Oreochromis niloticus: one gene and its partner. The protein of the gene in region 2 purifies or fractionates together with the protein of the main gene of each other region. This does not show direct contact. Links are inferred from orthologs where the notes say so. Each region holds a gene or a part of one and is shown on either strand. Other genes may lie near its edges. The genes, in order: irf9 and stat1a.

Region 1 (13,019 bases), on a different chromosome or scaffold from region 2:
ACATTGCGAGTTTAATAAAACTTGAAGACTCCGTCGTCGTGTAACCTCTGACACTCTTCAAGACCCAGTTTGTCCAAATTGGGTTTTTTTAGTTGTTGTTTTTTTTTTTTTCACTCCTGTCGAATCTTCTTTTTAAACCAGCAATTTGTACGTCCAAATCTTTGGGGCAGGCGAGACACTAGTAATGTTTGCGTTTGCTCCCACTCTGATCCGTCTGATCTCATGATAGAAATATGTGACTCTTCAGTGGCTCTATTATGTTCAGCTGTGTCTCTGTCTGGTGGTGTGTTGTGACATCTTAAAGAATTTCCGCTTGAAACAGCTGCCTGCTGTGCTGAAACATCCCTGCAAGAGTGATGACATAGAGCTAAACAATGAGCTTCAAATTCAACTTCCAGTTCAAGTCGAGGTTCAACCGTAAAAGAAGTTTTAACGTTGATTTATGGAAACGGTCTGCAACATTTGAGACAACGATAAATAATACACACAGGTGCAAAAACTTCTTACCTTCTGGTTCTCTGTCAGAGAGATTATCAGGGTTCATATTCAAGAAATCCAGCAGATCCGGAAAGACAGGATGATGCTGGAATTTCTTTTTTTCATTATACAGTCACTTCAGCCAGTGTCACAAAAAAACCTCTTAAGATAAACAACTACGTATGCAGGTCCTCCCCAACACTTAAACGTTTTACACATTCCAATACATACCAAAGGGAAACAAAATGAGATTTAAAGCTTGGAGCGACTGATTTACTGTAATCTCATCAGAAGACTGTAAATTGAGGCAAGTTCAGGAACAAAAACACTGTATAAGAATTCATCACCACACCAGGTATCTGCTCAGAGCTGCCAGGAACTGCTAACATCAGCTTTTTCCCTTTAAAACCCAGAGTATGATTCAGAGAGTAAATCAGGTCAGGCAGACGCACCAGTTTGAATTTTATTGTTTAGGTTCACTGTCACGGCAACATTTGTGGCAGCAGTTTCCTAAAAGAGCCACTCTGCACTGCCTGCTCAAGCAGACTCAGCTGAATGGCAGCTTGTGAGTAAAGTGGTGGTCAAATAGTTTCCTTACATGTTGGTCGAGACCAAACACAGAGTGAATATTGGGTTTGTTTAGGTTGTAGCTGAGTGAACTCTTTTCCAATACACCGCCTAAAAAGAAAAATCAAATATTGTAGGTGAATCTGTCCCTCCTTTGATAAAGATAACTTCTGAGATTCAGGTGTGTGTTTGTTCCCACAGTAAGCACTACAGGGAGTACCTGGTGAGCCTGATAAACGCTCACTCTCTGGACCCGGCTCTGATCTACGACCTCAACGAGGTGGTTCGCGCCTGTGAGAGGTACCAGGTGGACGTACAGCGAGGAGAGGGCGAGGAGGACAACGCTTACCAAACTCGACTGCTCAAGGTGGGACGCTGATGAATGTATTCATGCACACAGACAAAGAGTTCAGTAGGACTGGGCACTTTGGATAATGAAAAAACTAAAATAATAATAAAAATAATGACCAAACCAAACCATAAAATGACATATAATTACTCTGAGAATGTCAATAAATGCAGTAACAACTAAAAGAAAAGAGAGAAATTAGAAACATTATTACAAAGGGGATTCAAAAAATTAATTAAAATAAAAATTCCTACCCTAACCTACGATCATTATCTCTGGAAAATGACTGAAAGAATGAGGGCTCTCTTTTAAAGACGGAATGAGGAGCTCGGTTTGAGCATGCCCTACCAGGAGGAGGCCCCAGGGCCAGACCCAGGACTAGCTGGACAGATTATCTCTGTTGACGAGCTGGAAGAGAAGGCCAGGGCGAGGGAAGTCTGAATATGAATATGAGTGAATTAGGCTAAAATCAAGAGAAACTAAAAATAAATCAAATTTTAAAAAATTAAAATTGATTAAAACTACAAAACATCACAGTAAAATAAAAAAAAAACAAGAAAAATTAAAAACAGCTACAATAATAAAACATCCAGCATTACTTTATGTATTTAAAACATATTGATTAACCAATTAAAACCACTACAATCGTCTTTAAGTAAACTAACAGTGTGAAAAAAATTAGGAGCCACTAAAAATATTAAGACTAAATCTTGAAAAAGTTGATTTAAAAAAAACAAAACATGATCAAATATAGAATTCAAAGGTACAATAAGCTTTATCAAGTAAAAGAAAAAAACACTGCAATAAAAATATGACTCATAAAAATTCAAAACAAATTCCAACACGGACACAAAGTAACTAAAAATATCTGCTCATGGGGAGTCACACGGCATCTGTCCTTAAAAAGAAAGCAGAAATGAATTTAAGGAAACTGCCTGTCAAAGCAAGTCATAGTTTTCTTCTCCTGTTCGACGGCCACTCTTCACAGTTACCTTTACAAATAATCACTCTTTCTTTGGTTGAGATCAAGTAGCTGATTTCTGTTCTCCCCACAGAAACTGATGGAGGTTCCTCTTGGAGAAAAAGTTCCTCGAAACAAATGAAGACTTCCAGACCTTTTTTCCAGACAGATCCTCATCAGAGGAGTGTACTATGAAGCAAGCTCAACAAAGCCAGGCTTTCTTTGCTTTAGCTGGCTTGACAGAACTTAAAATCCCAGTCAGACATAACTGCTGCTTCTCAACCTTCTCTGTTAATGGAAGCTTTCTGATCCGGGTTCACATTAAAGGTGGTGTATAACGCATTATTTCACAAAATGATTGAATGCCATTTACGTCAATCAGAGGAGGTCACTGAGAGAGATGAACGATATATTTTAAAAGAAAATGAAGCCAAAGATGAGTGCTGCAGAAAGCTTTTAACCTTGCCTAAAAATCTCAGTTTTAACGTGACAGTAGCAGATGAGAGCTTCTTCTCGATTGATCAAACCAGACAGTTTGTAGCATGTGACCGATCGCAGACTGAAAACTGGCAGCACAGCAGGGGATAATACAAAGGAAACTAAAGCTGTAATCTTAGAGAAATATGAACAGTTTAAACACAGAAAACAGAATCAGCAATGCTCCATCATTGGGATACAGGAGGACCTGACATGATTACAGCTAAATATTCCATTAATTTAACAGGCTTTGTTGTTTAATTTAGACTGAATACAGAAATTCTCCAGGAAACAGAGAAAAAAAAAAAAGCTACAAATAAAGTTTCTCCTAAAAATCTGCATTTCATGATTGATGCTTATCATTTAGACTGTCACTACAAACGCTGAGCTCCATGGGGAATGGATTCACTGTTTCAGGTGATTTCATATGTGCTTTGGTGTAGCTGCAGTGTAAATTACCATGGCGATGTAGCCCTGTAAGAAGGAAACCAAGGTTTAAACCTGACGTTAACTCCATAAGCCGAGTCCTGCTTTGATAGAACAGGACCAGGTTGCCTTAAGCATTAGTTATGGTGATCTAGCAGGTTAAACTGAGCCTGTGGTCATCAAGGTAGAGCAGGTAGGTGTGTGTGTGTGTGTGTGTGTGTGTGTGTGTGTGTGTGTGTGTGTGTGTGTGTGTGTGTGTGTTAGAATAAAAGCGCTGTATGAATGTGTGTGCTTGAAGTGAATGAGGCTTGTAGTAAAAAGCACTTTGAGGGTTCACGTTCATTTAAGAGATCCACCTTCATCGCAGTGAAAACTCTGACTTAAAGCTCGATATGCCCAACTAACTGATTTATCTCTCTTTGTAGTACACCTCTCTAGATTCAGACTGTTTTTAATTAGCATGTTTATTTTATTTTAAATGTATTTGAAATTTGTTGTTTTATTTTGAAGGAGACAAACCTTTGGAATGGGTCTAAAAAATCATTTATTTGTGATTTTCTTTTGCCCTCACGTTTTGTGCCTTTTAGGTAGCAGTGATGCACAAATTTTAAGATTTGAAAGGAAATAATTTGTGGTGTGGAGCTGGCTCTTGATGTAATAAACTCGGTTTGATTTATCCAGTTAAAAAAATGTAAATGTAAAAGTCAGTTCAGAATAAATGTATGTTTATTAACCAAAATGTAATTTTTTTTCAGTCTTTAACATTTTGTCTGAGAGTTTCTAGTTTTTTCTGCTTTATAAAAAGTGGGTGGATATATGAGGTTGAACATCATCTCAATAAATAGAATTATTTTAACGAAAGTGGAGTTACTGATGTCTGTTATGTTTTGACAGATTTTGTGGTGTTTTCATTAATACATTCTTCTGAAGTTACTTTAGCCAAATGTGACTTTTAAAGTGTTGTTTTTAATGAGAATTTAAACGTTACATTTGTAAACAACAAGATTACAGTTTACAGTCTAAAGAAATGATACAAACTTGTGTAAGGAGACGAGATTTCCTCTGTTTCGTGAATGCATCAGCACTGTTACTTACATAGAAACCCTGTAAGCAAAAGCAAAACTGTTATCAAATAAAACATTTAATGAATTCTGTATCAAAGAAAAAAGTCCAAGCTAAGACTTAAAGTTAACACAAAAATAATTTTTTAAATTTAAAATGTAAAGTACGTCTCATGTTACTTATTATTCTGTGATTGTATATCAGTGAGATTCAGATGCTTTATCTTAAGTAGCCCATAAGGATAACCATTCAGAGGGTTTAAATAACCTTTAATTGAATTTAAACACACTACAGTGAATTGATTGTTTGGAGATTTGGTATTTTCTTATTAAAAGTGCCTGAAAATAAGGAAAAAAGGCACAAGAATAAAGAATAAATGAATCATTCAGTCAAAAAAACATTGAACGTTTATACTATCTCTGCTGTTAGTATATATATATATATATCTATATATATATATATATATATATATATATATATATATATATATATATATATAGATATATAGATATATATATAGATATATAGATATATATATAGATATATAGATAGATATATAGATAGATATATAGATAGATAGATATATATATATAGATATATATATATAGATATATATATATAGATATATATATATAGATATAGATATAGATAGATATATATCTATATAGATATATATCTATATCTATATATCTATATATAGATATAGATATCTATATATAGATATAGATATCTATATATAGATATAGATATCTATATATAGATATAGATATCTATATCTATATATAGATATCTATATCTATATATAGATATATAGATATAGATATATATCTATATATAGATATATAGATATATCTATATGTATTGATCAGGTGTAACATTATGATCACCTACTTAATATTGTGTTGGTCCCCCTGTTGCTGCCAACTGTTCGCTCCATGGATCGGACTTGTTTGTCCAGCACGTCCCATAGATAACTGATTGGATCGAGATCCGGGAAATTTGGAAGTCGAGTCAACACTTCAAACTTGTTGCTGTGCTTCTCAAACCATTCCTGAACCATTTTTTGCTTTGTAGCAGGGTGTGTTACAATGCTGAAAGAGACCACAGCCATCGGGGAATACTGTTTCCATGATGATTGTGGATGTACATGACCCTAAATACTGCTTAGCTAGGTGGCAAATGTCAAAATAACATTCACTTTGTTGGCAGGACACAAAGGATTCCCAGCAGAACATTTCCTGAGGAATCGCACTGCCTCTGCCAAAAGATGACTCATTGGCCTGTAATCTGCCAAAAACATGTCAAACATATGCCTTATGAATATTATCACATCATTTTGACCCAGAAAGAATATTCCTATTACAAGGTGGAAACTTACGCTTATGGTGACTAAAGTTAAAACAAGATCTAAGAACCTTGTATACCTCTTGTATAACTGTTTGACTGTCTGGACAAGTTACACAAAAATCAATCTAAATATACACTCACTGGACATTTTATTAGGTACAACTTGCCAGTAATTTGCTAATACCTAATTTTTCATGGTGTAGATTCAACAAACATGCCTCAGAGACTTTAGTCCTTACAAGATAGCATCACAGCTGCTGCAGCTTTCTCGGTGGCTGTGATGTGAATCTCCTGTTCCACCACATACCAAAGGTGCTCTAATGCAGCGGTCCCCAACCTTTTTTGCGTCACGGACCGGTTTATGCCCGACAATATTTTCATGGACCGGCCTTTAAGGTGTCGCGGATAAATACAACAAAATAAAACTAGTACCGGTACCGAAAAAAAGAAGATTTATTCATAACACACGTGAAAAGACCCAGGAAAACCGAGTTAACGATAAAAACGATAACAAAATAACGCTGAAAACCGATAAAAACCCTGAAAAACACAAATTTCACACCTGAGCCTCAACTCTCGTGGCCCGGTACCAAACGATTCACGGACCGGTACCGGTCCGAGGCCCGGGGGTTGGGGACCACTGCTCTAATGGACTGAGGTCTGGTGCATGTGGAGGTCACTGGGTAGAGTGAACTTATTGTCATGTACAAGAAACCAGCTTGAGATGATCTGACATTTGTGACATGGTATGTTACTTAGGTCATAAACATTTTCATCCAGATAACTGCTGCTCACTGGATATTTTCCCTTCTTTGGACCATTATCTGTAAGCACTAGAGATGGTTATGTTATAAAATCCCATCAGATGAGCAGTTTCTGAAATACTCAGATTACCCCCCCCCGCCCAATACACTAACAATCATGCCACATTCAAAGTCACTTAAATCACCTTTCTTTATTGATCTGATGCTTGGTTTGAACTTCAGCAGGTTGTCTTGGCTGTGTCTACATGCCCAAATGCACTGAGCTGCTGCCACGTGATTGGCTGATTGGATATTTGCGTTACAAAGCAGTTGAACAGGTGTTCCTGGCTGGTTAGTTCATTTCCAGCTCATATATCTGCTTTATTTGTCATGCAATAATGAGGAACAAGGCCTTACCTGGCCATGAAACTGCTTCTCACTTATTGTCCAATTACTTTAGAGCCTTTGAATGTCATTCTTAAACAGATAATGGAATACTTTTTCCCATCCCCTTGAATGAAAGGTGAAAGTCTGCACTTCAGTCACATCTCCACTGTCTCCTCTGTGCACATACTCAGGACCCTGTGTCTCTGTGTGTGCTCACTTTCGCCCCCTGGTGTCAGACCTGCGGAGGGTTTCTCTAAAACCACGTGACTTCGGGGAAAAGGAGCGCCTTCACAGACTGAGCCGCAGAGCTGAAGAGGAGAAGGCAGTCAGTCCGCAGGCACCGCGGAGGAAACACAACCGAGGTAAACGAAACTTAAATCAACTTCCTTAATTTAACACCTTAGCGTCTATATTTGATTTTTTATAAATATAACATGCGGCGGTGGGAGGATGTTTGCAGCTGCTTTGTTGTTTCCAGTCCAGACTCCATTTAAAAAAGACCTAATTTTAGAAAGTTTTTGTCTTTCTTTTCTTTTTTAATGTGTGTCGGCTCTGTTTAAAGACCCGGCTTGAACACGAGGCTTGAACTTGGCTTTTTACGCGAAAGCAAATCGACCTTTATTCATATTTTTACATATTTCTTATGTCTAATATTGGATGTTTTTGATGTGCTCAGAGTGAAGCTGTGCTATTATTAAAAATGTGAGGCGGGGTGGGTGTAGGAGGGCATGTCGGGGCAGTTGATCGAAGTTGTTTGTGTTGATGTTTTGCCGCTGGCCTTGAAACTTTGCGGTGTTTTCAGCATTTTTAAAGAAGCAGCGATGGCAGCTGGGAGAATGCGTTCCACTCGCAGACTGCGCTCCTGGATCGTCGAACAGGTGTGTGGCTGTGTATGTGTGTGTGCATAAGTGTGAGAGGGTAAGGACAAATGAAAGAGGGGGGGGGACAGGGAGAGGAAAGGGGTGATTGAGAGGTCACTAACAAACATATATTCATAACTATGGGGCTGAAAATGACACCAGCAAAAGTTTAACTTTTCTCTTGTTAGAAAATCAGCTGCAATTGCATAATCTGCTTAAGCAAATTGTAGGTCAGCTGTGGAAAAATGCACTTTTCTGTTTCTACTATCATATAAATGTGTTATAGGTGGTTATTGCAACTTTTTGTTTTTATGAAACAGTTTGAACCCTGAATTATTAACTAAAGTCATAAACTGAATATCAGGAAATAACTGATTTTGACTTTAGGCCACAAAATTCTGTGTATTGTGTAGAAGTGATATCCGCTGAGGTTGAGCTCAGCTGCACTTTCAACAAGTTTATATTTTTTAGATTAGTTGGTTAAGAAATAAACAGATATTGCTCCAATTAAGTGAATGTGTTCTGCTTTTTCTTGTTTTCTGACATATATAAGTGAGATCAGTGCAAGTGCAAGCTTCACTGTAGCTCTAAACACTCAGTTTCAGGCAGTTTCTTCCACTCTTGGAGCTTTATGAGGTCACAGAGAGCAAATCAGGAGAGAGTTAGCCTGGAGAGAGCTAAAACAGCTAGTTTCAGACAGGATGAATTAATGGGGCACATCAAGGCCTGATATGAGATAAATAAGGATTATTCTGAACTGTTAATGATGCAAAGCTACTTTAGTAGAGTCCAGTAATAAAAACGCTCAGTTCAATTTTATTTATATAGTGCCAAATCACAACATCAGTCGCCTCATGTTGGTTATATATGGTTGATATATTGTAAGGTAAAGACCCCACAATAGTACAGAGACAACGACAAATAAATAAATAACTCCTTTTGAGCAAGCACTTGGCAACAGTGGGAAGAAAAAACTCCCTTTTAACAGGAAGAGCCCCCCACCAGAACCAGGCTGAAGAAGGGGCAGGATCTGCTGTGACTGATTGAGGGTGATGAAGAAGAGACAGGGCAAATTCCGTGACACAAAAAAACCAATACAATTGTCAGATTTGATCATTTCAGAACACTAAAGTTTGCATATTTTTGCTTTAAAGGTGGATGATGTTGTGTTTTCTGCAGTATTAGTCAATCTAAAAGTGTTTTTTCTACAAAGACATGCAGAAGAGGTGGCTGGTTAGCAGCCCTGATTTATGTCTGCAGGTATCCAGGTTCAGGTGAAATTCAGGAAATCTATAAGCTTCTTAAACTTTGCCGTGTTTTTTGGTTTGTTTCAGGTCAGCAGTGGGAAATATCCGGGACTGGTGTGGGATGACGAGGCCAAAACCATGTTCCGCATCCCCTGGAAGCATGCGGGGAAACAGGACTTCCGCAAAGACGAAGATGCTGCGATCTTCAAGGTAGCTCTTGAAATTCTCAAGATTTGCTTTAAATGCCACAAATCCAGTCTGCTTTAAATCTCTGAGATCGCCATCGCTGTTCTCCCCAGGCGTGGGCAGAGTTCAAGGGGAAGCTGACAGACGGGGGCCAGGACAACCCGGCCGCTTGGAAGACCCGTCTGCGCTGCGCCCTCAACAAGAGTCCTGAGTTTAAGGAGGTGATGGACCGAGCCCAGCTGGACATCTCAGAACCATACAAGGTGTACCGCCTGGTCCCCATCAGCGAGCAAGGTGAGACTTGAAGTACCTACTCAGCGCGCTCTGGCTAGGTCGTAGTACAACTTAGTTATACCTCAGCAGCAAAGCATTTGACTTACCTCAAACCTGATAACCTCAATGACAAAATCAGTCTCGCGGTCACACGAAGGTGGTTAAGTCAACCTAAAACTTCCCAGTGGGTCACATGAGGGCACACGAGGCAGGACAGACGTGTGACAGCAATTACAAAAACATACATGTGAAGCCTAGGCGAGGCCCGAATATGCAGTGTAAAGACGCTGAATTCATTAATGTAACCATGGATGTTTTTCTGTAAGAGCTCTGATAGTTGTTGTTCACACTTCACTGGCTCAGATGTCCTCCATCTCAAGACATCTGTATTTCATTAAGAATAACTGCTGTTTAAGATTTATTAGCTCACAGTCTAACACGAACAGCCCGGTTTCACTCCTGATGGCAGAACAATGCAGGCACACCAGCGCACAAGGACCCGTTGTGGTGGGAATTCAAAGCAGCACCATAAATTATACCGCTGCCTTGTTTTACGAAACCAGGAACAAAGTACAATATTTGAAAACTCTCAGTAGGTTTAAGACACAATACAGCCTGAGCAACAAAGCAGGCTGGGAGTGTGCATGAGAGGGAGAGTGTAGCGTGAAAAAGTCTTGTATATATGCTAACGAAGGTCAGTAAGACTGGAAAAGCTGGCAAAAATGTTGAATGTTAAAGTTCTTGGTATCCCTGCTCGATGATGAAAATGAATAGACCTAAACTACTCCTAAATCAATGTGAAGGTTTGGTGAAGGTATTTTTGTAGAGCATGTAAGATAGTTTTATAGTTTTTTCAGAATTGTTGAAAATTTTATACAAGATCAGCTAGTAAGCAGCTTAGGCTCCCTGTTTTAGTATAAACTTTGCGTATTTGATATAATCTCTGAGCCATCAGAGTCTTAAGAGGGTCTCTAAGACTACAGACTCTCTACCTACACAATGGGGTCGGGAAGTGGTGACCCTTTTTCTGAGAATTGTTAGGTCACTAAGTGGTGGGTGCTGGTATGCGTTGATCTCTTATCTGGAGCAGGTGTGGTTTGCAGCATATGCTAGCATGGCACTGTGGCCTGGTAATGCCAGAGTCCCACAAATAAGAAGGTTGAAGAACGTTGCAGATATGCAATCACACTGCTTTGAAATATCTGCAACCATTTGAGTCAGTGGTTGATCAAGTCAGTCTGCAATCAGTTTACAACTGTATGGGGTCAAGTTGGCAATTGCACACAAATATCTGTGTTATTGTGTGCAATAGTTTTCTCTCTTGCAAAGAGTCATGTAACAAATAATTTGCCCTCATTGGTGCAGACTGACTCAGTCTGATTGCAGCATGTTGGCAGTCTGTCTGTGTTTATACATTAGGACGGTGATTACGTGGAAACAGCTGTTTCACAGTGATTGCAGTCAGTTGGACTGTTTGTTTGGAGACAGGTTGCCTCCCACCAGGTGATCTGTGCAATCGCCTTGTTATTACAGTAATTAAAAACCCAGAGGTTAAGGTTATTGGAACCTCTGGTCAGCCGATGCCAGATGCAAAAAAATTCAATGCAATCGCCTGGCAACCACCGAGTTTTCCTAGCCACGATGTTCCTGTCCAATTTTCATTTAATGTAACTGAGCCAAAAAGACGTGACCCACCCTTAAAAGAATGTACATCCAGGGTTAAACACAAAGTTAGCACGATAAGCCTCAAATCCTGCTACATAGTATCAGCCTGTGATGATCGTGGCTGGTAAACTGATAGCTCAGTTGCAATGTAGGGCAGACCTGCAAACATTCACACAGTCACATGGTCAGCTTCCCTCTGCCAGGTTGGGTTTTTATCTCAAGATAATGAGCTGCAGCCTTTGTGTCACTTTAGCAGCCAAAAAATAAACTTAATCCTGACCTCTCTGAGTCAGACTGGTGAACTCTAGCACATTTAAAGCAGGTAGTATGGGAATACTTGTAGCTCCTCGGGGTTAGTATTTAGTCATGATGGGGGTTAACCAACAAACCCATTCTGTTTGCAATACACTTTCACAACAGTCTGTTGCATTTAATACAACAGTGGATGTTTGCCTGGCTGCCACTTAAAACTGTTCCAGTTATTGATTGAGAAGTAAAAACAGTTCACACGCTTTGCCACGCCTGTGCATCCTCATTAAACTGTAGGGTGAGATGAGCAACTGCAGGCCGGCGATGTCTCAAAATGCAGCAGCTCTTTTTCTAAGAAACAGAAACCTCAGGAAGCACATGACAACAGTGTCTGTCTCTTCAGGCTGCAGACGCACAGATCCAGCGCGTTGATTGGTTGGTTACATCTCAGAGATCATGCGAAGATTAAGAAAGATGAACTAAAACTCATTTCCTCTCACTTTTAGTAAATGCAGGTGGTCAGTTTCTTCTGCTCTTAATGTGGAGGAGCTTTGTAGCTTTTATTCTGAAAGCTACAGTTACCAAGCACTTGACTAACAGCTCTGCCATCAATTCTGCTTTTACAAAGACCTACTTTTTCAGCTTTTCTTTATCATCATAACACCACATAAATACTGCATTAAACAATTACTATTGTACATGAACCAGTCAGAATATTAGGAACACCCAGAAGCCCACCATCACTAACTATAAACTCGATAATTAACGTGAACAAACTGAGAAATTGGATCTAAAAGTTTCCCACGGCTGATGGTAACGTGTTTACAGTTTTGCCCGACTGTTAGCAGGGCTGGCATTGCTGCTGTTGAAAGTTGATGTCAGGTTTATAGCTTAATAGTTCCTCTGTTTGACAGAGTTGAATATTTAATCTGTCAGCAGTACGTCACAGACCATCAGAAATAGTCTGATAAGTTTATCAGCGGCAGCCAGCGAACTTAATGTTATATGTGCTGCAAAAACAGCCTTCAGTTTTCGGCTGGTTTTAGTTGCTCGTCCCTGCAAGACTTTTTAAAACTAGCAGAAAAAAATTAATATAATATGATTTTAAATGTCAGAATGAGTGACACTGAAGCAAATTTATGCAAGAACTGAAGGAAGGGTAATCAAATATATGTATGTAGGTTTTCTTTGTTGTTGTGGTCGACATTGTTCTCCATTTTTAAAGGTTTGATTCACTAAAATAATTAAAGTAACCTTTATTTACATCAGAGAAATGAATGTAAACATATTACATATAAACGTGGTTTTAATCGGAGTGTTTATCTGCTGTGGGTGCTGGCCCACTCACAGGATTTCTGTTTGACTTCAGATTAACAGTAGATGAGAAAATGGAGGTTTAGCTGCGTTGGGTGTTGCAGAGTAAATGTTGCACAATGTGCCTGCAGAAACTGGTGAACTTTCATCTCTATTAGCGCCCTGTTAGTCTGATCACCACTTCCACCTTTTCTGCAGCGTTAAGCCCTCTCGCTGTTTATTTCTCTCACACGTTTTTTTCTTTAAGTGGCCGTGCTTTTGGACCCTCTGACTGTTGACCTATTTTCTGCTGTTTTGCCTGTTTAATGTCATAAAAATGCCAAACAAATATGTTATATGTAGGCTGAAGGGAATTTAAAGCTCTGCCGTGCCCTCTGCGCTTGTTGTGTTGCCGATGTTTGTCTGTTTCCAGGGAGAAATACCTGGATT
Region 2 (12,201 bases):
GCGTATAGTTTTACCTGGACTATGTGCTTCATCTCTTTCACTTTGTTGTCCAGCTTCTGTTTCTCCACCACCATGGCCGACACTGCCCCATCGGTCTCATCCTACCGAAACAAAGGTCACACATTTTAGCGTCTCCGAAACAGAAACAGGTTTAGACTCTTCGGGATCTTTAAAAGTAAAACTGAATTCAAGTATTAATTTAGACATAGAGGTTAAAGCTTTGCTAAACAAGGAAATCAGATCAAGATTACACCCACTCCAAGTGTCTCAATCTTAAGACAAAATCCACAGAGGAGCAAATTTTAGCCAGTTTCTCATCAGGGCCAAAAACATCACTCTGGGATCGTTGAGGATATCACAGGTAAGTATTTCCTTTTCCGGGCATGTCCCACCGGGAGAGGCCCCAAGGCAGACCCAGGACACAGCTGGCATGGGAAAGCCTTGGTGTTCCTCCGGATAAGTGGAGGAGGTGGGTGGGGATTGCTTGGGAGAGGGAGGTCTGAGCATCTCTGCTTGGGCTGCTGCCCCCGCGACCCGGCCCCGGATAAGCGGAAGAAGATAGATGGATGGACAGATGGTATTTCCTTTTAAATTAAAAGTAATTTATCCCACAAGCGTGGCAGTTTTGTCCATGACAAAAAATTAGGTATAAGGGGTGTAATGAAGTAGATCTTTTCCAATTCTTTCTGTCTTTTAGATCTAGGAGAAGGTCGCTTTAATGTTCTGATTACGGCTTGTGGCTGTGAAGTAGAAAATATCCGTGGTCATGTATTCTGTGTAAGAGTGGAAAGAGATCATGCAGATGAAATATTACTAGGAAAAAAACAAACAAACATAGGATGATTTTTTTTTTTACTCTGTGAGAGTAAGAGAATATAAACAGCATGAAGATGAAATGGTTTTTATAGCATTATTTAATGCACTAAAGTTATAGTACATAAGAAAAAAAGCTGATTCTGAGGTTGTTTCTGTTGATTTTTCATTTTGAAGAATGAGAACTCAGTCCCTGTGTGCATATTGGGCTTTGATTCATAGAGCATGCAGACATGTGTACCGTGCATCAGCATGATTTTGGAGCATTCAAGCAGCCATTAAGTTGGAAAAGTAATACAGTTCTTATCATTTGTTCAGCTATTTTTGTCTTGAAAGCATCTTTTCTCTTGCTTTAAGTTTCATCTGGTAGGATTCAGGATGGTCTACTAGCACCAGAAGCTGGCTGTAATCCACCTATAAGCTGTTTGGATCCTGCACACTTGTTTATAACTTAAACCCCAGTCTGATTAACGGAAGGATTTAGATCTGTCGGGTGTTATTCTGGTGTCATAGTTCTGTTCTAACAACGAAACCGAGCTGCAGCTTTTACCTCGGTGCTCTTTGCAATCTCCAGTATCTTCAGCTCCTCCTTCAGGTTTCTGGAGATGATCATGGCCATGTGGACGGGATCTTCCTGGAAGCGATCCTGGAGAGAGAACCGCTCGTACTTTTAGTTACATAAAGGAATTTAACCTGGCTCACACAGAAGTGTTTCGAATCCAGGGTCGGACCTGCAAGTTCCTCTTGATCTTGCGAATGTTGTGCTGCAGCAGGAAGTTGTTCTCCAGAGCGAAGCGGCTGTGTTGGTCGTCCAGCTGAGCGAGAAGGTCGTGGAAACGAACAGTGGCCAGAGAGTCCTGCATGGCCACCGTGTCCCTGAGGAGACCACAGTAAGTCTTTGAGTAGCATGAACAGAAGACGCTCAGTTTGGGGTTAACCTTGAAAGGGTTACAAATTGGTTTTCAGCAAATGCTGTGCTTCAACAAAACCTTTATCCAAATATTGAGAAGTCCATGATTATCAGTCTCATTAGCTCAAACACTTTTGCTTTGGTCTGATAAAAATCTAGCAATGGAACCGTTAATGAACAGATGCTGAAATGATGACGAAGGACAGGTATTTCTGCACTTTTACAACCAGGATTTTATGGGCTGTGAGGACTTTTTTCCCACATGTAATTAACTTTGCGCAGCTGAACCAAAACTCTCAATATGCGCAAAGATATAGAATAGAATAGAATAGAATAGAATTCAACTTTATTATCATTGCACAGGTACAGGGCAACGAAATATAGTTTGCATCCATCCAGAAGTGCTTTAGCCATGATATAGATATATTACAATATATATTAGCAATAATATAGATATGTAAGTATATTACAGAAATGGGTCTATTATGGTATGTTATACACGGTGTGAAGTATGTTATGAATATTCTATAACTATAAGTATGTACAGGCTGTAGTGAGTACAAGCTATGTACAGGCTATGAAAAGGATATAAATATGAAATAAAAAACTATACAGAAATATGAGATATACAGTTATACAGAAATGTGAACTATGCAAGTTATGAACAGTTGTAGGATTAAAAATTATCATATGTACAGAATGATTATTTACACAGAACTATACAGTAGTGCAGTTAAGATAAGTGAGATATATGGATAATTTCTACAGAGGCTATATAAAATGCTAGTGGTTGTGAGTGGTGGTTCAGTCCATGTTATTATATCCCTGCATTGTGGATACAATGTCATGAAGCTTTCCATATCCTTGGTGACCCTGGTGTTTCCAGTGCAGGAGCATAGATCCAGATCCACGTCCACAAGTGTGAGCTCGCTTCTGTTTGGGCTACGATCCCGATATAAATGCACCTACAATTTTCTTTTCCATCAGGACATCCGGTTTAACCTTTGCTTTGATTTACTTTGCAACCTTTGATTTTCTTGTTTCAGTGTTAGTTTTTCCTCTATTTTTTTTTTTGTATGGAGGGGATATGCCAGATAAAAAAATTTAGGTAAATCAGTACAGGTATTACAATAAATACAACTTTTTAATGGTTCAAACGAGTCGATGAGAAACGTTTGGCAAAAAAAAAAAGACGCTGCCCTTTATTCGGACTTCTTACCAGTCGATGCTTTCGATCCACTTGCTCAGGTACTGCCGGATGTCCATGGGGAACGAGTCATCGTACAGCTGATCCACCTGCTCCAGGTATTTGCTGTCCAGCATCTGAAGCTGGCCCCACTGCGCCATCTTCTGGTGAATGAAAGCAGCTCTGTCAGGACGTTTTTTGCACGATGTGCCACAGCTTACATAAAAGACGGGAGAGTCTAAAAGCTGCATTCTTACTAATGACCAGCAGGTAGCCTCTTCCCCTGCTCAGTGATGCCAATAAAATAAACTCTCTTGGTGAATTTATTTGCCTAAATCTGTACTTTCACATCTTGCTAATATAACATGAACTTAACTTTATTGCTTTTTAGCTGTATTAGTGTCAGAAATAAGAGGTAATCAGTTTCAAATCAACAGGTAGGTGGTGGCCAAAATGCTCAGCTTCATGATTTTCCTAAAAAAACAGAAGGTGGCTACATATATACAGGTTTTTCTACCGAGCATCAGGCAAGATTATCTGCCATTTTAGTGTCACAGATAAGAAATGTTAAAGTGGTTTTGCTGTCATACATAGCCTGTTTCTGTGGTGGATGTTGATATGAAACATCCAACAGAGCTTCAAATAATGAGGACAGTGTATGTGCGAGTAATCACTGTAGCCTCCGACTGCTCTAAATACTCAGTTTCAATAATTTATTTTCCTACTCTTTGATCTTTATGTCATGGAGGGCACATATCTTTAACATGTGCAACAAAAGTCTTGATAGTGAGGGGCAGCCAATCAGAGGAAAGCCAGCTTAAAAGTGAAGGAGCAAAAACAGCTTAGACAGAGGATGAACTGGAGACCAAGTATGAGATAAATAAGGACTATTCTGATCTGGGAATCATGCAAAGCTACTCTAGCAGAGTCCAGGAGTGAAAATATGGAGCTGGAAATGAGCAGAAAAAGTCTGATTTTATATACTTTTTCACTGGTGTGTCATCAAAGATTGAAGAAAACTCTAGCCGGATTATTAAATGCCCACAAATGCAGATCATGTGTGTGAATTTATTGACATGTATGTCACATTTCTGTCTGCAGTCTCCAGCTGTAGACACACAACAGTTAATAAAAACATACAGAATCTATTATCATGAGGCTGTGAGATAAAAGTGGCAGAAATCTGAGACTTTTTAAAAACCCTTTAAAGGGAATTTATGCTTTTTGAGAATTCGCTAGATGTGGATACCCAGTTAAAGTTTATATACAATGTAGATGTGTGTAATAATCCTGAATAAATAAAGGAAACATTTATTAGTCATTTGTTCAGAGCTTGGTTTTCCAAGAAGTCATCTTAAACCCATAAATATATGAGGATAATTCAATAATTTGAAGGTCTAACTGAAAATAATTTTTTATTTCTGACTCTCCTTGCAGCACTGTGGACAGAAGACAAAGGTCAGGAAGCTCCGAAACATTTATCTCACTACAGAAAACCAGCTGCTTGTTTAGTGTGAGAAATTCTGAAATTATAAGTGCTGACTCGAGGATTGTCACGGGCTGCCACCTGCCTCCTTCCTGGCTCAGTTCTGCTCTGACTTAAGATCAGAAAGTAAAAGCAAAGAAAGATATGTGTGTGATGATGTAAAGGAACATCCAACACTGATTTCTGTTAAAAGCAGCTGGATTTCATAGACACTGAAGCTCATAAGCTGTAATTAGCTCCACAGATTAATTCCCATATTGTAAAACAGGATTGTTTGACAGCTAAAGAAGAGACAAATTAACCTTTTTGTTGTTTACTTTTTTAAAAATCAAACTCAATCTTATCTGTATTTATCTTGTTCTAAGTGGCTAAACCTGAATGTAGGAGGCGTCTAAGGTCAGCTTAGGTTTCAGTTTCCCCACAAATGCAACTTTGCCTCCAGCATCAGTTTAAAAATATATCATTAAGAGTATTTAAACGTATGTCTATCTAGATATATGACCTAATTCCACATTCACAAGACGATCATAGCCAATAAGTCAATTTCACAGCTTTCATTTTTAGAGCATGATCCCTTTCTGGCTCCCCAAGTCACTTAAGGCAGCCCTGTGGTCCTTTCTAGCTCTCCTCAGCCAAACTCTAATCGGTAATGTGTCTTTTTAAGGATTTCAAGCAGAGGCCCTTATTTTAACGTCTAACAATACAAGACTCAATAGATTCTCTACATGTTGGTGCCTCACCTGAGCGATCGGCATATACAATAATTCATCTGGTGTTACACATCGACTAAGATCCCATTTTACACTTGGTTGACGGGTAATTATTTACGTTTCGGACCCCTAATGGTGGGCGGTATGGACATAAGCGTGTAAAAAGTTAAGATTTGATTTAAATAACGGCTACGGACAGATACACAAATATTACAACATACACAGAGGAACGCTTATATCGCGTAAACTACCGTTAAGTGTTTCCAGGAGTCGTTTTTTTAAGCATTACCGATTAGCAACGTCAAGTTTAAATGCTCCCCTAGCACGGCTTGCTGTGTAAATAAAAGGTCACAGAGGCGATTTATATAAAACAACGTCACCTTTTGAACATGTAAGTCGTGTAACTTACCTTTAATGTAAAGGTAACGTGTATAAGCTTCCACAGGAAGTAAGTTGTGTTTCCGAAAACGCTTGAGTCCCTAAATGTGCCAGAAACAAGCCACACAGCTCTCCTACCTTTTTTCTACTCCAGTGGCGCAGCTTACTTTACGGAAACACTATCAGCCAATCACCGCACACCATTTACGACAAGCCCCCGCCCTTTTCCATGAGACAGCCAATCACAAAGAGGGAAAAACGGCTGTTCTTCACAGCTACCAAGCATGCCTTAAAAAAAAAATACACAGAGGGTGTTTTTTTATTTAAAGCTGCCCCTGTAAGCATAACATGAAGAGTCAATATGTATTTTGTCATTGAACACAGTTAAAGAGAACGACACTGTACATAAAATGTATTTTTAATCTAGTTTAAAGCAACATGACGCAGGCTTTTCGGAGGGAGAAAGTCAGTAAACAGAAGAGCCGAGAGTGACCACGTGTTTTCAGAGAAAGAGAAAGCGGCAAGGACGCCTACAACTCTGAAACTGAAACTTAACTTAAAAGTTCTGTTTGATCGTTGACATGTGCAAAAATTGTGGAATAAGAAAACAATAACTGATTAAAACAAGACGCATTTAAAAAACATAACAAAAAACTAAAAAAAAATTAGAAAAAAATAATAATTATTGCACTCTAAATATCAAAAGTTACGGAAGCGTAGAGCTGCCACCCAGGCAAAAGAAAAATAGAAGTATATCACGTTATAACGTGAAAAGTTTATTGTTCTAACAAGATACTTTTCATGTTTGTACAATATACTTTTGACGTTTGAACAACATAATATCACGTTATTACAATATACATAAATATCACGTTCGTACAATATTTATATTGTACGAACGTGATATTTATATTGTACGAACGTAATAATTATGCATATTGTAATAACGTGATATTATATTGTCCAAACGTCAAAAGTATATTGTACAAACATAGTAGTATATTGTACAAACATGATAGTATATTGTACAAACATGAAAAGTATCTTGTTAGAACAATAAACTTTTCACGTTATAACGTGATATACTTCTATTTTTCTTTTGCCTGGGTGGCAGCTCTACGCTTCCGTAAAAAGTTATAATCTTGTACCGACAACAAAAAATCACCGGTTTTAAAACGTAATTATTTCACTAATATTACTTCTTTGTAAGGTAAGTTCTTATATTTTACAAAGTTGAAAACTTCCTTGACCCAGCCCACATTTCTTCCAAGAAGCAGAATTTCCTGTAATTTTCTAAGTGGTTTTGAGCAGTATTTCCCCAGGCTTTCCAAAGACCTCTCAAAGGTTTTCTTTGGGCATTAGCTAAATTTTCACTTCACTTAATTCTTTCAGAGGAAAAAAAGAAGTGGTAGATGCATCTGGACCTTCAGCTGATCCATCTAATGTTCACCGAAGCCTCATCAGAAATGGTCTCAGTAGAAGGTGGCTGTCAGGAAGCCATTCTTAAACAGGAAGGGAAACAGGAAGAAAAGGCCTGAACTGAAAGTAAGTGGAAACCGGTCTAATGGAGTGATGAATCCAGATCTGAATGTTTATGGTTTATGGTTCTAATCATCATTAGTATGCAGACCGGTAGGCAGAAAAGAGGTACAGTGAGTGTTTACAGTCATCTGTAAAACATGGTGGAGGCTCTGACATTGTTTGGGCTGCATTTCAGTCAGTGATGTTGAAGATCTTTGTAAAAACTGATGAATTATCAACATAGAAAAGTACCATCACATTTTGATCCAGCATGCAATACCATCTGGAAAGCATCTGATTGGAAACAGTTTAATTTTTCTTCATGACAATGATCCCAAACACACTGCCAATGCAACAAACATACGTGGATAGAAAAAACACACAGTGGAACACTATCAGTCATGGATTGGCCTCCCCAGAGCCCGGACCTCAACATTATTGGAGCAGTGTGGGATCATGTTGACAGAGAACAGAACAAAAGGCAGAAACATCCAAAGAAGAGCTTTGAATGTTCTTCAAGAAACCTGAAGAACTATTTCTGAAGAATGACAGATTTCAATAAATCAATCACCTGTTTCTTATTATCCTAGTAGAAGTAAGGGTTGGTTCCCTGTTTCTTTGTGCTATGCTAGGAACCTTCTAAAATAGGGGTGTGGAACTCCAGACCTGCAGCACGGTGGCACGGTGGTTAGCACTGTTGCCGCACAGCAAGAAGGTCCTGAGTTCAATTCCACCATCAGGCCGGGTTCTTTCTGTGTGGAGTTTGCATGTTCTCCCCGTGTTTGCGTAGGTTCTCTCCGGGTACTCCGGCTTCCTCCCACCGTCCAAAGACATGCAGCTTGTGGGGATAGGTTAATTGGATAATCCAAATTGCTACTAGGTGCGAATGGTTGTCTGTCCCTGTGTGTTAGCCCTGCGACAGACTGGCGTACCCCGCCTCTCGCCCTATAACAGCTGGGATAGGCTCCAGCGCCCCCCGCGACCCTGAAAAGGATAAGCGGAAGCGAATGGATGGAACTCCAGACCTCAAGGGCCAGGTCCTTAGACATGTCGTTGATCCAACATAGCTGATTTAAATGGCTAAATTACCTCCCCAATATGTCTTGAAGTTCTCTGGAGGCCCGGTAATGAACTAATCATTTGATTCAGGTGTGTTGACCCAGGGTGATATCTAAAACCTGCAGGCCAGCCCACCGGACGTTGAGGCCTGGAGTTCCCCACCCTGTTCTAGAGGCTATCATGAAGTTGCTGAAAGCAGTGCATCATCCACCAACCAGTTTGACCGGTAGACAAACTGCAAAGGGTCCAACTGGTGGCCTGTAATGTCCTTCACATGGGCTAACACCAGGTGTTCAAGGGATTTCATGACCACAGACGTCAAGGCGACAGGCATACATGCCAACCCTCCCGATTTTTCTGGTAGAATCCTGAATTTCAGTGCCCCTCCCGAAAATCTCCCGGAGCCACCATTCTCCCGAATTTCTCCTGATTTTCTACCCGGACAACAAAAATGAAAAACCATATCCCAGAATTCATAGCATGGCCCAGCCAATTCCAGTTTCCAACAATGGCGGCAGCTACTCAGGTTTAATATTACTCTTATTACTCTTTCTGGGTTGCAAACTAAACTTTTAGCATATTTTCAGGCGAGAATGTAGCTGAGTAAACTTCAAATATCTGAGCCGGCGAGAACAGCGAACTCCCGGCACATCGTTTTCAAACCCCCGTGGTCTTTCGCTACTCAGGTTAAACATGATATATAAGTCACTTAGATAGCCTAAAAATGTTATTGCTTTTTACTTTTTTCAGTGTTTTATTTGTTCCTGAGTAAATCGGTTTGGCTGAGATTAAAATTATTAGATTAGATTAAATAAAACTTTATTAATCCCTTGGTAGGGTTCCTCCGGGGGTTTTCACACAGCTGAATAAACGTCAAACAGAAAACTGATTAAACAGAAGTGTGAGATGGTCGAGAATTTACGCCAGTGTCCTGTTATATTTAGGTGGGTCCTCAGGTGGATGCAGCCTGTGAATTTGGGCAGCCTGACTGCCAACACTGTGAAATTCAAGTTTTTTTGTAGATCCTCAGATCTTTTGAGGATGTGGGTAAAGCTGGGAGTTCCTGTTTTTTTTTTTTACCACTACAAAAATTTCTGGGTTTGTTTTTTTTGTTTTTTCACAATGTATCCACTGTGTATCCACTGCACACTCTCCATTGTACACATGGATACACTTTTTCTCTAATTTCACATGTGTATGTCTTACAATTTAAGAGTTTTCAATTTAAGAGTTGGCAGTTTTCATGCATTTACTACAGAAGCATTTCTTTGGAAAAAACTGAAACCTAATGTTGAAATAGCCCTTTGTTTTCTTATATTAAGATATCTCAGAAAATAAATGTGTAATTAAATTTCTTTATATTGATAGAAAAGGGTGTTTCAGAGGTCTGGCACACTTAAGATTAAAGTAGGCTGTATGTGGCCAACAATGTAAAATGAGTTTAACATTGCTGGTCTAATAATGACATGTCTGTTAATTTCCACATCCTGCTTCCTCTTCCTCATTAACCGTCTGCTTAAACAAAAATAAAAAATCCTGATTTCATAATTTCTCAAACTGCCACTCATGTTCTGTTTCTCTTTGGTTTTTGCTGTGGATCTGATCTGTCAAAGGGGAACTCACAAACAGCTTCAAGGTCTGAAAATCAGCAGATGCAGTGAACACTGAACATCAGACTGCTGCTCTCTGGAGGTGATGGTTCACTTCTTCATCTCTATGTTAGGCTGTAGCCGGCTTGGCTTAGTTCAGCTCGACTCAGTTTTTAGGGTTTTCCATTAGGTGTTAGCACCTTGTACTAGGTACTTCTTTAGTACTTAAATACTTTTTTAGGAGTCCCAAGCGAGCCTAGTCAAGCCCAAAACATGATGTCAACAGACTGCAATCTACTAATTGGCCAGGGACATGCAGATTGTCACATCTATTGTATTTCTAGCCTATAAGACATTTAAACAACAGTAACTAACCCAGAGTGGCTTAGAGAGAGCCATATTTACAAACCACGTCTCCACACTGCTTTCCCTTTATAGGTTAAAACTATTGGTATTGGTATCTGCAAAACCTGTATTCACTTGGTATCGGATTGATACCAAAAGTTTGCAGTATCGCACAGCACCAACCGGCGGATGACGGGCTATGTGAATGTGAAACCATCGCAAACCATGTCACAGCAGATAAATCAGAATCCTTTTACTGTCATTAAACATCAGAGGTTCAACAAAAAGCAGCTCCCCGGTAGCAGCATTTAGAATAAATAAAAATGAAAACAAATAAATAGCTAACTATAAATATAAATACCAACTATACAATTGTACAAATATACAAGGTTTATATAGATGTGCAAAATTGCTCTGTAGTGTTGCACATGTCTTGGGCAAGTGTGTTTGTGAGTGTGTGTACATGTTTAGACATCTTTGTGAGGACAGAAAATTGGCATGCTACTATACTTCTGGGGACCAACAGTCACTTATGGCAGTGTTTCGTAACCACTGTGCTGCAGCACAAAGGTGTGCTGTGGAAGATTATCTGGTTTCACCTGATTAGTACTCTAAGCGAATGTGAGTAACAGGAAGAACAATTAAATTCTCTTCCACTGGTGGGGAGTACAACGTCTTGCTCCAATTAAATGGGTTGCCAACTGCTAGTAAAACAGAAGGAGATGAAGAAGAAATAACATATAGTCATGCGACAACTCAGCGCGTAATAGCAATAGATAAATATTTGAAAAGAAAAAGTAGTCAATCTGCCCGGGATCCTGGAGAAAATTCCGACCTAGCATGAGTAGCGGTCAGAAGAAAGCAAAAATGTCATTCCAAATTATTATGTAAATATTATTTAAGTGTCATAAAGATTAAATATGTTGTTTTTCAATTAAACTCATGGATGGCATCGTGTCTCAGGGCTCTTTGGATCACTGAAATCAATCTCGGACACCTGTAATAATTAGTTTGCCAGGTGAGCCCAATTAAATGAAAAACTACTAAAGAAAGATGTTGCACATTATAATAATACATTTTACATTTTATTTAAAAGCACCTTTCAGAACACCCAAGGACACTGTATAGCAAATAAAACAGGCATAAAAACATGAAATATACACAATAATACAAATAGCAGATAGAAAGTTTAAGATCTTGGATAAGTTATATGGAGTAGGCAATTTTAAACAGGTGGGTTTTGAGTTTGGACTTAAAAAGAGGGAATGAAGTGATGTTTCTGAGGTCAGGGGGTAAGGAGTTCCAAAGTTGAGGGGCAGAGTGACTAAAAGCCCCCCCCATAGAAACAAGACGAGAGGAAGAAACAAGAGAAAGGGAAGAGGATGATCTGAGGCACCGGGATGGGATGGCCATCCGAACCAAGTCAGAAAGGTATGGTGGGGAGAGAGAATGAATAGCCTTAAATTTATGGAGGAGTATTATAAAATTAATGCGAGATTTGACCGGGAGCCAGTGAAGCTGCTTCAGAATAGGGGTGATGTGGTATGTAGAGGGAGTCTTAGTGATAATAGGGGTAGCCGAGTTCTGGACACGTTGAAGCTTATTGATGGACTTTTGTGTAAGGCCAAATAAGAGTTAATTACAGTAGTCGAGGCTATGAACGAGAATGGCAATGGCATGAGGAGTGAGGAAGGGGCGGAGGCGATTGATGTTACAGAGATGGAAATACGCTGAGCGAGTGACATTATTGATGTGTGAATTGAAGGATAGTGTACTGTCAAGAATGACACCCAAACTTTTCACAGAGGGAGAGATAGAAACCGGCCGGTTATTGATAGTAACAGAAAAACAGGTAGTTCTAGATAGCAATGATTTAGAGCCAACCAGGAGAAGTTCTGATTTGTTGCTGTTGAGTTTAAGAAAGTTGGAAGAAAACCATTGTTACAGCCCTGGCCGTCTAGAGTTTGTTTCTGTCTGTGTCTTTAAGAATCTACAGGTCCTTTCTGATTGGAGAGCTGGCGGCGGCTGATTGGTCCCCTCATCATGTGGCGGTTTTTAAAAGATCCCTCACCAGCAGTTGTTGGCGGCAGTGACTGACAGCAGCAGCAGACCTTACCCTGGCTTCCAAACCTTGTGTTATTCGTGGGTTGTTCCTGAGATATACTGAGCTTTGCATATAGTGTGTAAATTAGTCTTCACTTGTA

What was found.
Region 1: the proteins of stat1a (region 2) and irf9 purify together in Homo sapiens (affinity purification with western blotting; 5 studies listed by BioGRID and IntAct, with this or other methods). This does not show direct contact. The link is inferred for Oreochromis niloticus from reciprocal best matches to the Homo sapiens genes STAT1 and IRF9.

The regions. Positions count from the first base shown.
Region 1 is NC_031974.2:8,875,375-8,888,393, reverse strand, and holds the start of irf9 (interferon regulatory factor 9), read left to right. Parts: upstream 1-7,006; 5' UTR 7,007-7,158; intron 7,159-7,598; 5' UTR 7,599-7,617; coding exon 7,618-7,674; intron 7,675-8,990; coding exon 8,991-9,113; intron 9,114-9,202; coding exon 9,203-9,383; intron 9,384-13,019. Other genes in the region: E3 ubiquitin-protein ligase RNF31, read left to right, coding at 1,246-1,411, 2,449-2,496.
Region 2 is NC_031986.2:20,025,200-20,037,400, forward strand, and holds the start of stat1a (signal transducer and activator of transcription 1a), read right to left. Parts: upstream 5,671-12,201; 5' UTR 5,515-5,670; intron 3,127-5,514; exon of another isoform or gene 3,074-3,126; 5' UTR 3,071-3,073; coding exon 2,943-3,070; intron 1,690-2,942; coding exon 1,545-1,689; intron 1,460-1,544; coding exon 1,364-1,459; intron 102-1,363; coding exon 15-101; intron 1-14. UniProt on the Homo sapiens protein: Signal transducer and transcription activator that mediates cellular responses to interferons (IFNs), cytokine KITLG/SCF and other cytokines and other growth factors.